Drosophila melanogaster: one gene and its partner. The protein of the gene in region 1 interacts with the protein of each later gene in a pairwise test. Each region holds a gene or a part of one and is shown on either strand. Other genes may lie near its edges. The genes, in order: Fadd and imd.

The links.
Region 2: the proteins of Fadd (region 1) and imd interact in a two-hybrid assay, tested with the Drosophila melanogaster proteins (2 studies listed by BioGRID).

What each region holds. Positions count from the first base shown.
Region 1 is NT_033777.3:22,032,546-22,036,162, reverse strand, and holds Fadd (Fas-associated death domain), read right to left. Parts: upstream 1,709-3,617; 5' UTR 1,601-1,708; coding exon 881-1,600; 3' UTR 546-880; downstream 1-545. Other genes in the region: pit (pitchoune), read right to left, coding at 1-87, 148-328; CG45099 (uncharacterized protein), read left to right, coding at 1,977-2,081; CG6015 (uncharacterized protein), read left to right, coding at 2,082-2,799, 2,865-3,343, 3,404-3,617.
Region 2 is NT_033778.4:18,409,105-18,415,342, forward strand, and holds imd (immune deficiency), read right to left. Parts: upstream 4,496-6,238; 5' UTR 4,352-4,495; intron 4,326-4,351; exon of another isoform or gene 4,222-4,325; intron 3,974-4,221; exon of another isoform or gene 3,744-3,973; intron 3,253-3,743; exon of another isoform or gene 2,923-3,252; intron 2,483-2,922; 5' UTR 2,307-2,482; coding exon 1,647-2,306; intron 1,230-1,646; coding exon 1,068-1,229; 3' UTR 692-1,067; downstream 1-691. Other genes in the region: GstE9 (glutathione S transferase E9), read left to right, coding at 1-652; Dp1 (Dodeca-satellite-binding protein 1), read left to right, coding at 6,146-6,182.

The DNA of each region.
Region 1 (3,617 bases):
CCTGAATTTGTTGCTTTTTTGGAGGCTGTTTTTGTTGCTTCTTCTTGGGCAGCGGCGCCTCCTGGAAATCCTCCTCTAAGTCGTCATCTGCGGGTCGAAAAGTGAATCTTACATATATTTATTAGGCACACACGTTTTTAATCGTACCCTCATCCTTGGCCACATGCTTTTTACTGAGTTTCTCCGGTTTTTTACTGGGTTTATTGCCATTTTGTTTGGGTGGCTCCTGCTTTTGGGCGTTCTTGTTTCCCTTCTTCTGCGAGAGCTCCTTCTTCATCTTCTCCCGCTTAACGATCTTCTTCATCAGCAGCTTCTCCCGAATAGACATATTGCTAACTATGTATGCTTTTTAATAGAGTTTAATGGTTAAAAACAGAATTCTCAAATAAAATATTGCGCGCACGTGTTGCTAACCATTCACCCCGAAGCAAACGATATTCAGCCAGCTGTGCCTATCGATAATTGCCAATTCGATAGTTCAATGCAAAAGGTGTGACCCTATTTGTAAACAAATTTTCAACCGTCTTTTGAGGATAAGAGAAGCAAAAGCGTTTGCAAAACGTATTTTATATCCATTGTACATTGCTATCTTCAACTATGTGACTTGTGTATTACGAGTTAACAATATTTTTTGTAGACTATCTTATGATAAGGAAATGTGAATTCCCATTTTGAATGGAATACGTCAATCACATTTTCTTATAAGATCGTACAATTCCGCGTTGACACATATTAATTTAGTGTGCGATTTTTATGCTCTGTCCAACCTTGGAATAACATGTGAATAATTACAATAAAGGCACATCTTTGTCGCTCTCCAGCACATTAATTACTAGTATCGTAACAAAATGCATATAAAGTGCATATAAGTGAATGCGTTCTAGTGCGACATTATCTGCTCCACCCTCTTGCGCAGATCATTGCGACCACAATCGCCCAGGGCGCGACACAGACGAAGCAGAAAGTGCTTGGGATCGTGGCAATCATCCTCTTCGATGAGCTGCAGCAGTCGCAGAATCTGGGACTTCAAGTCGTGCGGGTAGCGCTCCTCGATTGTGTCCATTTGGCCCTCGCCAATGCCCGCCGATCGGCCCAGTCGTCGCCAATAGCGACCCAGTTCCTCGGATATTTTCTTAAAGACCATCGTTCGTTTGTGATCCGTAAAAGCAGCTGGGGTGGCATAGTTTTGGATTGCTGTTGGAGGCACAGCGGCAGCTAATTCCGAAACTGATGGCTGAGCATTCTGGGAAGCTGGAGCAATACGGAGCTGCTGACGAAGTTCCTCGGCCAATCGGAGTTCCTGGTACAGATTAACCGGATGTCCAAGAATGTTTTCCGGCTTTGTGTAGGCGCTCAGAGCCTCGATGAGCTGTGGCATATTGCCTGATATCCGGCGCAGTGGCTCCACATTGTACTCCGATAGTTCGTCCGCTCGTTCCAGGCAGTCAATTAAATCCTCGATGGTTCGTATGCAATCCGATCTGCGTCGCGAACCAATCTCTTCGACAAAAATTAGTTTCAACTGCTCCACGTTCTCGGTGCATCCATCAATGGCGATTTGTTTGAGGCTGTCGTAGCTCCAGTGCCTGCCTGCAGTCATTGTGACTAATTTACAGAGACGGTATTTTCAGCGGTCTTAAGTTCCCAAAATGTATCAACGCAACTTCACTCCCTGATGTAGTATGACCGTATGGCCAAACATTTCCTTACCTGTTATCGATCAGCACTGAATAGGTGTTTGAGCAAAATGAGCAAAAAAATATCAAATACTATTTCCATACAACTTAAAAAATTTAAAATAAGCTTTAAACTTGCACCACCTTGCATGTTTGGGATCTATTAGTGAGACCGTTACATAGCCATTCGATAACATCGATAACAGATGGCACGCACCATCCCTAGTTTTGATAGATATATATTTATGTTTTTGTTACTTTTACTGAAGCAACTAATGATAAACGCAAACGTGTAGACGAATGGAAATATCCATTAACGTTTTCGTATTCCTCCTCTACACTCTGGTCTTGATTTACCTTCAGCATTTCGTTAACAAGTACACAGAGTTCGTCCGCAGCCTCTAAATGTTGGGCCTTCAGTCATACGCCAGTTCCTCGGATGAAGAATCGGACCATGCGGACGCCGCCACAGCCACCACGAATTCAGAGCCCTCCGCTCCCATTCCGGATCACCTGCTGCCCGTGGACAAGACACACTCGCTATCCAAGTCCATTGCTGTTTGTGCGGCGCCAACGGTGGTTCCCCTTGGAGCATCGGCCGTGCCCCGAACTCTGGATCCCACGCTCAAGGAGGTAACCTACAATCCGCGCTATGAGGAGATGTATGCTCCGGTAAAAGGTCCGGAGCATCCGGACCTCACCATGCAGCAGCGCGCTCCGCGGAACACCCTAGCCGGCTACGTAGAGAAGGCCCACATCAATGCCTTCGAATTTGAGAACCAGCGACGCACCTTTCACACCTACGGCTACGCATTGGACCCCAGCGTAGACGATCAGGCGGACGGCCAGTCTTTTGTGGGTGACCTGCAGTCTGCGTACGATGACAATGGCAAGACGGTATTTGAGCCGCCCAAGGCAAAGAAACTGCGCAAGCAGGAGAAAAATGATAATCCCGAGGACATTGAGGGCTTTCTGGGTCCCTGGGGCAAGTTCGAAAACGAGGTGTCGGTGGCAAAGCCAAATGAACAGGAGCGCGCCGAACTGGACGAGCTGCTGTCTAAGCGACATAAGCGCGGACGCATTCCCGAGGATAAGCCGCTCGAGGAGAAGTCGACGCTGCACAGTGAGTTTAATCCAATAGCCACCGAATATATATCGTTAATAATCTTTTCCTTTTTTGCTCCACAGTCAAGGATGCGTACGACTATCAGGGCCGCTCTTATTTGCATGCTCCTCATGATCTGGGCGTGAATCTACGATCGAATGCACCACCGACCAAATGCTTTCTGCCCAAGGCGCACATACACACCTGGTCGGGCCACAACAAGGGCATCTCCTCCATCCGCTGGTTCCCCAAGACCGCTCATCTTCTGCTCTCCGGATCGATGGACTGTCGCGTCAAACTGTGGGAGGTTTACGGCGAGCGACGCTGCATACGCACCTTCTCCGGTCACCGGCAGGCCATCAAGGATATTGCGTGGAACAACAGGGGTACCAACTTCCTGTCTGCCTCGTATGATCGCTACATAAAGTTGTGGGATGCCGAAACGGGCGATGTAGTGTCCCGATTCACAACGCGTAAAATGCCTTTCTGTGTGAAATTCCATCCGGATAATAGCAAGCAACATTTGTTCGTTGCCGGCACCTCCGACAAGAAGATCATTTGTGTAAGTAAAATTTACAAAAGTAGATGCTCATGTTACAATTGTTTTCCTATCAATTCGCAGTGGGACACTCGCAGCGGTGATATTGTACAGGAATACGACCGGCACTTGGGATCTGTGAGCACCATCACCTTTGTGGACGACAACCGACGGTTTGTGACCACCTCGGACGACAAATCGATGCGCATATGGGAGTGGGACATTCCTGTGGACATGAAGTACATTGCCGACCCCACTATGCATTCCATGCCGGCGGTCACATTGGCGCCCAATGGCA
Region 2 (6,238 bases), on another chromosome or scaffold:
ACTGTACGGCGTAGAGGCTAGTCCGCCGGTGCGAGCATGCAAACTGACCCTCGACGCCCTGGGCCTTCAGTATGAGTATAGGCTGGTGAACCTGCTGGCCGGTGAGCACAAGACGAAGGAGTTCAGCCTGAAGAATCCGCAGCACACGGTACCCGTGCTGGAGGACGATGGCAAGTTCATCTGGGAGAGTCACGCCATTTGCGCTTATCTGGTTAGACGCTATGCCAAGAGTGATGACCTGTATCCCAAGGATTACTTCAAACGCGCACTCGTTGATCAGCGCCTGCACTTTGAGTCGGGTGTGTTATTCCAGGGCTGCATCCGGAACATAGCCATTCCGTTGTTCTACAAGAACATAACTGAGGTGCCGCGTTCCCAGATTGATGCCATCTACGAGGCCTATGACTTTCTGGAAGCGTTCATCGGTAATCAGGCTTACCTCTGCGGACCGGTCATAACCATCGCCGACTACAGTGTAGTTTCCTCGGTCTCCAGCCTAGTGGGATTGGCCGCTATCGATGCCAAGCGCTATCCCAAGTTAAACGGCTGGCTAGACAGAATGGCCGCACAGCCCAATTACCAGTCGCTCAATGGCAATGGGGCACAGATGTTGATCGACATGTTCAGTTCGAAGATCACAAAGATTGTGTAATTGTTTGCACTAGCTTAAAGGTTACAAACGCAACGTGTTCTGATTACGTAACAATAAAGCTTCTATTTGTATAAACTTTACAAAAATGCTTTTAAATACCAGCTCAATTAGCTGGTTTTTTTTTTCGACACAAGTATCACAACTTAAAGATTAAACTGCAGTAATAACAGTTAATGCAATTCTACGCACTTATTCGATAGGTTGGATTTATAAATCAAATATTGCACATATATCCCGTGTTCGTCTCTTCTCTCTACCACTCGATGTCTTCTGTCAAAGGCCGCTCTGAATTTAGCAAAAGTTGGTGGGTTAAACATTTCCAGTTTTCACCATCCGGCTGGCTTGGACATCAAGGGGCCACTTTGAATGCATCGTTTTCGTTCTGGAATCTTTGCTAGCAAGTTTCACTCACTGACTAGCTGTTTGTCTTGCGCTTCTCCAGTGCCTTCCAAACCAGTTTCATGCGCTGCACGCAGTCGCGATGCTGGGACTCCCACAGCAGTGTAGTAAGTCGTCCAACGGTGGCCACACCGTCCGCCGAGCTTCGAATCCACTGGAGCAACAGCTGGTATATCACCTATAGACGTAGACACAAAGCAAAGTGTTATTTTCTGATTTTATGATTGATTTTCTAACTCTTAAAAATCATTAAAATCTTCTGGTACTCTAACAACAGAGTTGTGACATTTATACACCATAACTTGCAATCTAATCAGACAAACAAGTGGAATCACTATCAGTATTATATAAAATAAATAGCTCACAATAATGTAAGCTAATTTATATTATTTTTTTTTTTAAGTTGAACAATCCATTCGTGTCAAGCAATGAAATCTAACAGAAATAGTGGTATTTGAGTCATTAAATTAGTCTGATGCGTCACAATCATCTTAGCATAGTCTGTTGTTTTACATACTAATTTGAGTTTGTATGTTCTGTTCTTGAATCAACATTCAACAACAAATAAGAGAAGTTTAAACTTCAGGGGCCTTACCTCTCTAATATTGCCATGCATTTGGTGATCGATTATGGCCTGGTCGATCTGTCCTTCCGACATGCCAAGATCCCGCATCACCTGCTTCCAGCCCTCGCCCAAGTGCGTGGAAACCACATCGAGCAGGCGCACATCCGGTTCCTCTTGTGACTGCATCATGGCCACAATGCTGACCGTTTTGCGCGTCGCACTTGCCCGCGGCTTACCGTCTGGAGAGGCGACCGACTCCTCTGCGGTACTGGTGCTACCCTTTCGCGAGCTGCAGGCGCTCAAGTTTTGGTTGAAGTTGTAGACGGAGCCGAAGTGCAGATTATTGGCATTCGAGAAGTTCATGACCACCTGTTGCTGGGCGCTGTGTACGTTCATGGTGTTGTTTGTCTGGACGTTACTGAGAGTGCCCGGAATATTGGCGGAATGCACCACATCCATTGAATTGTAGTTTGGGTCGCTGAGCTCGCGCAGCACGGATTCGGTCAGATCCGAGGAGGCTGTGGGCGTGCCAGCGGTGGAGGGCAGCGCCAGGGCTCCGCTGTTGTTGTTATCTGGTTCGTTGTCGTCCACGGGAGCTGCGTCCTTTTCCAGGCGTCCCTCGACGGGTGTCGGATTCTGTGCCTCCTTCCCGCCAAAGATTGTGGGCAACAGGTTCCTGAGCTTTGACATGCTGCTCGCTGATAACTGGTAGCTTTGAATGTGCTCTCGCTTCCGGAAATTCCACAGATTGGGGAGTTTTTTGCCTTTGTGTTTCTTTGCTCTTTTTCAATTTGGTGGTGGTAGGCCAAGGATGGACCTGACTATCGATATTCCGAGCCGATTATCAACCGATATTTCACTTACAACTAAAAATTTTTAGTTTTATTAAGAAATTCAACTAAATAGCATTTCTTGTCTTTTCCGTCTGATTGAAAAAATCAATTATATTTGACTAACATACAAAACTTAACATTTGAATTTTAATTCTTAATCATTATGTGCATATAAGGAAAAAATTTAAGCATTTATATCTAATCTTTATTAATTTGCATATAAGGAAACCCCCATAATAACGATTATCATCTTTAAAAACTGGTGTTTGTTGTCTAAGTTTTTTTTTAATATATTTTTTTTATTGTTACTATTGAATAATTCTTTAATTAATTTTTGAAAATCCCCAAAAGAAGGCCATGGTAATAGACCCAATAGTCGATAGTTCGATTTGACAGTTCGCGCTTGCGATTGGTAAGAGCGACAACCCTGCACCCGCTGCGGCGTATCGCCCATCTCTATTTGCCACGTTCGCTCATGTTCATTCACATTTTACTTGGAGTCGGTAACGTTGAGTTCCGCGTCCGTGCGTTCTGCCTTCCAATAGAAAGTCTGGGTGTGAATTTACCAAGATTCCAGTGCGAAAATCAACTCACATTGCTCGGTGATCCGTGCGGCGGTATAATTGCAGCCGGAATTGCATAAGTTGCGGCGAGCGAAAGAGAGTGCACGGATTTACAGTTATAAAGGGCCGGCAGCGGTGGGGCGGCGACGGCAGAGCAAGCAGAAGAAGAAGAGACGGCAGTGGCGAATTAAAAAAAACGATGAAAGAAAATTCGGGCCGCTAATTTTTCTTCAAATTTGTGTGCGGTCGGCGAAAAACAACGTGTTTTTCAATGGTTGATAATACACACGGACGGCGCACTCGCGCTCACCCACACAGTCACAAAAGTCGGCGACGTCGACGACCCACACGCTCACATAGGGACGTAAAATCCCGTGCATACGTGTGAGCGTGCATATATAAGCATATTTGTCCGATTGGAAGGCGCGCGTGCTGCCTTTTATTTTTTTTTACTTTAATTTTCCTATTTTTCGAGAGGGGGAGGCAGAGTTAAGGCCCCGCCCCGTGCCGGAAAAGAGGATCCACACAACCTTTCACCTGGAAAGCATACGGCACTGATTTCCGCATTTCCATACTCTCACACACACACACAGACGCACACAAACACGCCCACGCGCTGCTCCAATTTTGCCTCCGCTGCTGCCACAAAAACAATTGTCCAATAAGTGGCCCGCATATGCTGCCCCCCTCCCCTTCCTTCACCGTGCTCTCTGCAACAACGCGCTCTCTGCGACAAATAACATTAGACTTTCTATTGGGGATGTGCATAACGCAGAATGACTGACTAAATGATTTGTAGGGCATTCATCCTGGTGATGCCACGATCCGATCTTCTGCATCCGCTAATTGCATTAATTTTAAGCAATTGTTTTTCGGCTTTTCCAGCAGACACCCAAGTTATCAAACTGGATTTGGTCAAAGGAGAGTAAACTCGGCCGGATTTTTTGGATTTTACAGTACCGTAAGTTGAACAACCTTTGCCTAGAGTTAATTTGCATAGTTTAACATTTTACACAAGTGTTTTGCCAAAAAAAAGACAACAAATGTCGTCCAAGTTAACGGTTTCATGCCTAAAACTGACTACGTCAAGCTTTTCTTTTTTTGGTCTTTGGGATCTTTGTATCGAAATTACAGAAACAAGAATCCATCCGATATGTGCATACCAATTTTGTATATATGTTTTTTTTTTTTTTGGTTTTTTGTTTAAAGCTGAACTTTAGCGCATTGTTATTGTGCTTTGTCTTCATTTGTCGACGTCAGCGTCGCTGCAGGCGTCACATACGAACGTATGAACGATGGTATTTGCTATGTAGGTATGTTGCTTGTTTTCGTTTTTTACCTGTGCCTTCTCGAAAGGTGGCAACACACACACACAACCGTATTCCCGAAGAAGAAAAAGAGCGACACAGAAATGTGCAGGCACACAGGCACAGCACACTCACATGCATACAATACACCACTGGCACTGCTCGATCGTTTTGTTGTAGTTGCCGGCTATCATCCGGTTTTATATGGAGCTGCTCCCCTGCTCCGTTAAGTTACTTCGTCAAGCTCTCGCTCTCTCCTCTCCCTGTTCCTGTCGCTCTCGTGCTCTTGTCTCTGTATTTGACACATTTTTCATGAGCACAAACAGATTCGTCGTTAGGTGATTATTTTTTTGGGAAATTAATTCTGAAATGAAAAACTATTATTAAATGTTAGGGATAATGATCTGGTGTCACTTGCAGTTGTCATTGTTATCTGTAATATATAAATGTATTAAGCTTTCATTGAAATTTACAAAACCGTATGATTTAAAAGTAAGAGGCCCCCTTTACACATACCCTGCCACCGCCGCTGTCCGCACATACAAAGACACAACTAACAGAGAGGAGACAGACATATCTTTGTTGTTCTTTCGGTAGAGAGGAAAATGTAGGCTACGAAAACTCGTTGGGCATGGATTTAGAAAACAGCTTTGGTCGAACAAGTGCATGGTCTCTGCTGCTCCTCGGCTGAGATCTCTCTTTCTCATTCGCGAGGCCCCAACCTTTCACCCAATCGAAATCCGACTGATAGCAGCCTAAATTTCGGAAAGCGCACTTGTAGCATTGTGTGTTTGTGTGTGTACGTACCACAATATCTTGGTGGCAATCGGACGACTGAGCTTATCAGCCAGAACGGCCGATAGTTATCACTCAGCCCCGGAATCTGCCTGCGTGGCCCATCGGCCGCGTCCACTTATCACCACCGAAAAGCGGAGAGTTGTGTCGAGCACTCATCTCGCAGATCCAAGCACTACGTGGCCTTAGTTTCAGGCTGTGGTGCAGAAAGCTCGTTTGAAAAGAGACTATTTCGGTTTATCAACGCCAGAAAATCCATTTCATGCACCCCCTTTGGACACGCACTGTTTACAGTGGGGCATGCAACATGGTTTCCCGGAATGATTCTGCATTCAGTCGAAGGAAACTTTACGAATATAAGCTACAGAGGTGAATTCAATGAATAATTTATGATCTAATTTAATAGATATTTTATTAAATGTAGTATTGGATGTTATTGGAAATTTCTTCCATTCACAAATTAAGAAGAAATGGAAAACAGCAAACAAAAAATTGCAAACTTTTGACGTTTTTATAAGAAAGCAATAGTAACGCAACTTGTTAGATTTCCTGTACATAAGTCACGCCGCATATCCAATGAATTATCTTTGTACTAATTTGTTTACTGTAGCCAAGCGGTCCTAAAGTGTGTATGTACTTATGTAGTTCCTTATCAGTTGGTCGCAGCCAAATGCGGGTCCTCGGAGGTCGCACTTATCAACTATCTGCGATTTTGGTAAGTCTGCGGGCGACTGACAACAGAAACAGATGAAAACTGTAGCTAAACGGGCCTATTTTAATCCATGTTTGCCAAAATAAGAATGCCATTTAACTATTTGTTCTTTGATTGATCGACCAGCACTTCGATAATCCCCTAGAAATTTTTCCTTCCTGGTTGTTTGCTTTATCGCTGGCTGATAAACAAGGTTCATTTATAGGGTCCAGTATGATGTAAACGTTTTAATGCACTTGATAAGATATCTTCTACTTTTCAATTTCAGTGTACTGTAAACGACTTGGAACGAAAAAGGACTTTTCTCTTTTTTTAAGTAATGCAAGCAGCAGCAGTGATGGAGGAAACTAACAACGGTGAGTTCTTCGAAGGCTAAATATTATCAAGCAATTGTTAACCAAAATCATCATGC